Oryctolagus cuniculus: one gene and its partner. The protein of the gene in region 2 purifies or fractionates together with the protein of the main gene of each other region. This does not show direct contact. Links are inferred from orthologs where the notes say so. Each region holds a gene or a part of one and is shown on either strand. Other genes may lie near its edges.

Evidence for each region. The genes of interacting proteins can lie anywhere in the genome.
Region 1: the proteins of WASHC3 (region 2) and CAPZB purify together in Homo sapiens (co-immunoprecipitation; 4 studies listed by BioGRID and IntAct, with this or other methods). This does not show direct contact. The link is inferred for Oryctolagus cuniculus from reciprocal best matches to the Homo sapiens genes WASHC3 and CAPZB.

Annotation. Positions count from the first base shown.
Region 1 is NC_091438.1:151,225,543-151,229,190, forward strand, and holds part of CAPZB (F-actin-capping protein subunit beta), read left to right. Parts: intron 1-1,149; coding exon 1,150-1,263; intron 1,264-3,648. UniProt on the Homo sapiens protein: F-actin-capping proteins bind in a Ca(2+)-independent manner to the fast growing ends of actin filaments (barbed end) thereby blocking the exchange of subunits at these ends.
Region 2 is NC_091442.1:105,008,605-105,012,352, forward strand, and holds the start of WASHC3 (WASH complex subunit 3), read right to left. Parts: upstream 2,370-3,748; 5' UTR 2,250-2,369; coding exon 2,199-2,249; intron 1,676-2,198; coding exon 1,577-1,675; intron 1-1,576. UniProt on the Homo sapiens protein: Acts as a component of the WASH core complex that functions as a nucleation-promoting factor (NPF) at the surface of endosomes, where it recruits and activates the Arp2/3 complex to induce actin polymerization, playing a key role in the fission of tubules that serve as transport intermediates during endosome sorting.

The DNA of each region.
Region 1 (3,648 bases), on a different chromosome or scaffold from region 2:
AGACTGCCACGCTGGCCGTCCAGACCAAGCCACAGCAGAGTAGGACGTCGTCCTGGTCGCTGCAGACCGCTGGGCACGCTCGGTCGCGTGTGTGCTTGCAGGAGGCAGGTGCACTCGTGGGCCTTCATCCTCTCAGTTCTGCCAGGCAGCGCTGTTGAGAAGGCGAGCAAGACAGGAGCTGGCACAGCAGCCTTGCCCGGAGCAGAGAGGCCTCTCGGGAGAAGGAGGCACCCACGTGGGCGTCACCTTGTCTTCCAGGCCGTCTGGGCTCCCAGCTGGTTCCTGCGTGACCACTAGAGCTCACACTGGTGCGGGGCAGCACGGAGTGTTTCTCCCCATTCTCGCAAAGGCTCCACCAGCTGGGGGTGGCGAGTGGGGCAGGAAGGAGGGCTTGCAAAGGCTCCTTCTGCCTTGGGGTGATCAGGAGCAGCTGTGGCAGGGAGACCCCCTCCCCGCCTTGCCCTTGGTGACCCGGCCCCTGAGAAAGCAGGCACCTCTGTCCCGCGGCAGCTCGCAGGAGAGGCGGCCCAGCTCCCTCTGACCCCTAACTCAGCGTGGTTGCCTGGTGGGGTTGGCCCCAGGAAGGAAGCTGTCTGTGCACAGAATTCGTGAAAGCTGGCTTCAGGAGACGGCCCTTGTCAGCAGCCTCTTTGGCGTCCAGAGTGGCGTGAAGGGGCGTCGTCGGCAGGAGCAGCGGACAGTAGGCGCAGGATCCTGATGCTGCGGACACCGAGAGACTCCCCGCCCCAGGCTGTCTGCTTTTCATTCCTCTCGCCTTTTTAACCGGGTCCTTCCCTGAGCCCCTGCTGGAGTCACCAAGGGCGTCTTCTCCTCACCCCTTCCCACACGCTGTAAGGAGGTCTTCGCAGAGCCGGCGGCAGTCAGCGAGGGAAATACAAAGGAGTCGGAGAAGGCAGAGGGAGGAGCTGGCCTTGGCCGCCCAGTGCCTGCCCGCGGGCACGCCATCGGCCCTCCCCTTCACTCCCACAGCAGCCTCTGCTCACCGCGCGCTCGAGGCTCAGCCAGTGGAGACGCTGGCCGAGGGTGCACAGCTGCGGGGGCTGGGCTGCACACCCCTGCTCTGCCCCTGCTCGCAGGCCCTGCCTCCATGGAACCATTCCCATGACCTCCTCTTCCCCCCACCCCCAGGTCACCATGGAGCAACAAGTACGACCCTCCATTGGAAGATGGGGCCATGCCGTCCACACGGCTCAGGAAGCTGGAGGTGGAAGCCAACAATGCCTTTGACCAGTACCGAGACCTGTGAGTTTCGTGCCCCTCCCGAGTGGGCAGGGCGGGGCGCTCCTCAGATAAACAGATAATTGGGTCAGTGTGGAGGTGACGGGGGCGCACACCTCCCGGGGGGCTGCTCCTGCTGCTCCTGGTTCCCAGCGCCTGCTGTGTGAGACACAGGTGTCTCAGACCTGTCCTCTCCGGCAGGTGGAGCCCCCGCATTTCAGGGGTGAAGAAATAGACGTGCGTCCAAGGCAGGGCCAGGGCTGCAGCTCTGTTTTTACCGAACCTTGCGCCACGTTCTGCCCGGCAGCCCAGGGCCCTGCTCGCCCGCTAGTTGCCAGGGCAGCGTGAGTCACTGTCCCGAGCTGGCTGGACCCCGGCCGTCCCTCTAAACGGATGTGCTGGATCCCGAGCTGTGTGACCCCGGCCCATCACAGTGTCCCCTGCCCCCCAGCACCGCCCCACATGGGAGCAGCCTCTCACTCAGGCGCTCACCCTCTGGCAGGGTCTGTCCCGCGGGTCCCAGCACAGCCGTGACGTCCGTGACGCTGAGCAGAACTGCTCAGAACGGAGTCAGCGGCTCCGTGAGGGACCAGGCAGCAACATTTTAGGCTCTGCAGGTCTGTTAAGGTCTCTGTTGCTTATTCTTTGTTTCCTTTTTACCTGCAAACCCCTTTAAAAATGTAAAATCTGCTTCTCGAGCCTTGAGGCTGGTGGGATGTAGCCTCAGTCTGTAGCCTCCCCTGGTGCAGGAAATGGGCAGGAAAACGGAGACGAGAATGGAAGCGCCTGAGCAGGGGTCCGCGCTCTGCAGACGCCGCCATACCTTGAGTGTGGTGGTCCGCCCTCCCCCGATGCCGCCATACCTCGGGTACGGCGGTCTGCACTCCGCCGGGTGGGCAGCTGGCGTGGCTGACTCACTTGGGGCACTTCGCTCTAGCATTTTTTTTTTTTTAAGATTTGTTTATTTGAAAATCAGAGTTACAAAGAGGCAGAGGCAGAGAGAGAGAGAGAGAGGTCTTCCATCTGTTGGTTCACTCCCCAAATGGCCGCAACAGCCAGAGCCATGCCAATCCAAAGCCAGGAGCTTCTTCCAGGTCTCACATACGGGTACAGGGGCCCAAGGACTTGGACCATCTTCTGCTTTCCCAGGCCGTAGCAGAGAGCTGGATCGGAAGTGGAGCAGCTGGGTCTCAAACCGGCGCCCATATGGGATGCCAGCACTGCAGGCCAGGGCGTTAACCTGCTGCACCACAACACTAGCCCACCCTTTTTTTTTTTTTTTTAAGAGTTGTTTGTTTATTTGAAAGTGTTACACAGAGAGAAGGAGAGGCAGAGAGAGAGAGGTCTTCCATCCGCTGGTTCACTCCCCAAATGCCCACAAAAGCCAGGGCTGGGCCAGGTCAAAGATGAGAGTCAGGAACTCCATCTGGGCTCCCATGTGGGTGACAGGGACCCAAGGACTTGAGCTGTCACCTGCTGCCTCCCAGGCTGCACATTATCAGGGAGCTGCATCAAGCAGGGGAGCTGGGAGTCAAACCCGGCACTGCGGCGGTGCAGGTTGCAGGCGTCCCTGGGGTGGCCTAGCCAGCTGCACCACAGTGCCTGCCCTTGCACGTTCAGTAAAGCTTTTACTTTAGACAAGAGGAAACACGACACTTCTCTGACAAATTCCCTCACTACACTGACATGCCAGAGCTGTGTCCGTCACATGCTGCATTTTACATGGATCGTCTGCTTTGATAATTTTTTTCCATTGAGAGAGCAAGTATTCCCATCACTGGTTTATTCGGGGGCCTGCGATGGCAGGAGCCAGGAGCCAAGAACCCAGTCCAGGTCTCATCTGTGGTGGGGGAGCCCGGTCCAGGTCTCTTCTGTGGTGGGGGAGCCCGGTCCAGGTCTCTTTTGTGGTGGGGAACCCGGTCCGGGTCTCTTCTGTGGGGGCGGGAGCCCGGTCCGGGTCTCTTCTGTGGTGGGGGAGCCGGTCCAGGTCTCTTCTGTGGTGGGGGAGCCCGGTCCAGGTCTCTTCTGTGGTGGGGGAGCCGGTCCAGGTCTCGTCTGTGGTGGGGGAGCCCGGTTACTGGAGCCATTCATTGCCTGTCGCTTCCCAGGGTCTGCGTTAGTGGGAAGAGAGAATCGGGAGCAGAGCTGGGAGTCACACCCGGGCACCCGGGCACCCGAGGCGCTCAGATGTGGGTTGTGGGCTTTATTATTTTCCCCATTTTGTTTGGAAGGCAGATAGATCTTCCATCTCTGGGTTTGCTCCTCAAATGCCTGCAGCAGCCGGGGCTGCATCCGCTTGAAACCAGGAACCCAGAACTCCATCTGGGTCTCCCACGTGGGCAGCAGGTGCCCATCTGCTGCCTCCCATGATCCGAGCAGGAAGCTGAAGCAGAAGCAGAGCTGAGTGGC
Region 2 (3,748 bases):
TGCTTGTTTTGCTTTTTTTTTTTTTTTTTTTTTTTTTTTTTTTTTTTTTTTTGACAGGCAGAGTGGACAGTGAGAGAGAGAGAGACAGAGAGAAAGGTCTTCCTTTGCCGTTGGTTCAACCTCCAATGGCTGCTGCGGCCGGCGCACTGCGCTGATCTGATGGCAGGAGCCAGGTACTTCTCCTGGTCTCCCATGGGGTGCAGGGCCCAAGCACTTGGGCCATCCTCCACTGCACTCCCTGGCCACAATAGAGAGCTGGCCTGGAAGAGGGGCAACCGGGACAGAATATGGTGCCCCGACTGGGACTAGAACCCGGTGTGCTGGCGCTGCAAGGCAGAGGATTAGCCAATTGAGCCGTGGCACCTGCCTTGCTTTTCTTTTTTAACCAGGACTACAGGGATGGAGCATTTGTTCCTCTCTGCTAACAGTCCTGAGATGGTTTCTGGGCCTATTAATACAAAATGCAGTGAATTGAATGCCTTTCTTTATCGATTATCTATTTCATTTTCTTTTGTCTTAATGGGAAAGCAGAAAACATTTTGATAACTAGTGGCTAGCATTGTCAAACAGCAGGTTAAGCCTCTCCTTGGGATGCTGGCATCCTATATTGAAAGCCAGGTTGAGTCCTGACCCCTGCACTTCCCATCTAGTTTCCTGGTAATGCTCCTGGGAAGGCAGCAGAAGATGGCCCAAGTACTTGGGCCCCTGCACCCATGTGGGAGACCCGGATGGAGCTCCTGGCTTCAGCCTGGCCCAGACCTGACTGTTGTGGCCATTTGGGGAGTGAACCAGCAGATGGAAGACCTCTCTCCTCCTCTGTCTCTCCTTCACTCTTTGCCACTCTGCCTTGCAAATAAATAAATAAATAAATAAATAATCTTAAAACAGTTTTCCTGTCTCCATGCAGCTTTTATTAATAAAAATGCAGCTATCACAAATTCTATTTTGGTAAACCTTTACGTTTTTTATAAGACAGAATGTTCAACTGACTCACTTGTGAATTATCTAAGTACTATGATTTAGTTTTCTTTTTCTTTTCTTAAACTCAATTTCAAACCATGTTTCACGTGTTCCTCCCCATGTTTTTTAGTTTTTTTAAAAGACAGCTGTAACTGGGTACTGAATCTTCACTTCTCAAGTCATTTGCAGAAAATGTTTTTACTCCTAAAATGAGATTTGACACCAAAGTTATGTTTCTGGGCTACCACCCCTTAGCCATCTTTTGGATGAAGGAATGTAAAATAATTTTATTATAAACAGAAACAATGTGTACTCTCAAATATAAATCTTTGGGTAGGAGAACAAATAGCTTTGCAAATAAAAGATGGGGATTCTCTTTTGTTCTGTTTAATTTCACTAAGCTGGATTTAACTCTCACTCAGAGGTCTCTGGATCCCAAGCTCAGCAGAGGTAGGTACAGGACTGAGCCTAACAGAATCAAAGAGGATTTGCTGTGTGATGGGAGGTCACAGTAGATGAATGCAGAGACTGTAGCTCGTGTTTTCCTCCATTTGTCAACCGCAGAAGGGCAAAGAGACGGCTACACTATGCCACAACCCAGTATCACAAGACCTACCTCCTCACACACTGTCGAAAAGCGGTTGAGGAACTGTACAGTGTGCACCACAAACTGGTTAAGAAATGCCACCGTTCTTTTCTGTTGAATAGCTGGCACCTGTGTTACGTAAAAACAAACATGATTTGGCAGGAGGAACGTAGATCGCCCAATCCCTTCAGACATCATAGCGGAACATTTTGCCGTGTGATATGAATTTCTTGGACTACGAATAGTCATTAGCTTGTTTTCCCAAACTGTGGGTGGGGTGTCACCTGCAGAAACATTTTTACAACGCGCCCTAGATTCACGAGCACGGATTTTTAGCAGGTTAAACCAACATATATAAATACACAAAACCTGGGATTAGATAAAAGAGAGGTTAAAGGTCGCAACCAGTCTGTCTCCGGCGGGCAATGACACAGGAAGTGAGAGCTCACAGAGGACCCTCATCAACTAAGTCAACTCGAGAGGGTCCCTCTTCAAGGAAAGTGATTGTGGCACTCAGCCTCCTAAGTCAGCCGAACAGGGGCCCAGGGCCAAGATAGGGCCTGGAGAAGTGGGGTCTCCCGGGGAACCGGACGTCCCTTCCCCAGCCCCCTCCTCCCCAGTCACCGGAAGTTCATCTCGGTCTTCTACAAACCTTGGTCAGGTCTATGCCCGACCCCATGAGTGGAAGCCCATCCTCATCCATCTCCTCGGCGGGCGGGAGGACCCAGGCTCACCCACACACCCCTCCCAGAAGGGCCCCGCCCAACCCGGTAATCGCGTCGCAACACCTCCTCAAGTCCCCGCCTCCGTGGCCCTTCCCACCGGAAGGAAACCCCTCCGCTCGCCAATCACAACCTCGGCTCACGGAAAGCCCGCCCACTTTCGCTCGGCATTCTGGGGCGGGTAGTTCTTGGTCTGGATTGTGACGTTGGTCGGGGACTCGGGCTGCAGCCTTTCTAGCAGTTAACTTCTTGAATGTTGGGGTGAGGGGTGGGGACGGGGCAAGCGTGGAAAGTACGATCAAGAATTGGCCCGTTTGAAATGATCCCTACTTAGCTCTGTCTGTTGTATAAACAGTGTCATTGGTTGAACAATTTTTTTTTTTTTTTTTTAATCCTACTACGCGCTAGGCCTGCGCGGAATACAAAGATTGAGTCAGCTTGAGTCAGCACACTGAGGAGGCTCCTGCTCTGGAGGAGGTAAGACCTGTCTCCAAAGACATTTAACACTGTGATAAAACCATGGCAAACGCTGCCGGTGAGGCGTAAAATATGCAGGGTGCTCACCCTGTAGCAGTGTCGTCAGAAACGCGCTCACAGTGTTCCGGAAAGACCTTGCACCTGGAATTTGAATATCTTGGCCCAGATTTTGACCATGCAAAACGATTTTCCAGCTCTGCAACGTGGGGCAAGTCACGTAACCAGAATTTGGAACCCAGTCAAGGTGGTCCCTACCGAGAGACGAAGACTTCAAGAACTGTATATGGTGTAGGGAAGACACACATAGCAGAGTTAGACGTGCAAGCAAAATACTGTGAAAGTTGTGGGTGAGCAGAGAGGCACACGCAAACACTTGTGTACACCTGCATCCTCTCGGAAACAAAGTGCTGTGGTGCTACAGGGGAAAGGTGCTCCTGGGTCCTCTGAGAACATTGGCCACGGCAGCTGTTCAGCACCCATGTCACATTAGGAGATGGTAGGCAGTTTGTGGTAGACCTTCGGACAAAGGCAGAGAGGTGTGAGGGGGTTTGGTACATAAAGGAAATGCAAAATTTTTGCTTTTGTGGAAGCAGAAAGTCCCAGAAGTGGAAAAAAGTAAGAAATGAGGTGGGAAAAAAGGAGAATCTCAGTGAAGGCCAATTTTTATACTATGATCTGTGTTGCTCTAAGTGTCTTAGAGATTTCCTGCTTTAATTATTTAGGAGTGGGTGGTACTTCTGAAAATGTACATTCCAGCAATTGATTAACCCCAGATAAACTACATCAAGACTTATGCTGAATGAGTCCAGAAATTTGCATTTTAACTTGTCCCACCATCCAGAATTATAAACCAAAGGCTTGCAAATAAATCTTTTTTAAGGTTTAACAAACTTTTATTTTGTTTTAAAAAATTAAAGAATATTTTTTAAATTTATTTTTTAAGGAATACAAATTTCATAAGTACAACTTTAGGAATATAGTTATTCTTCCTACCACACCCGCC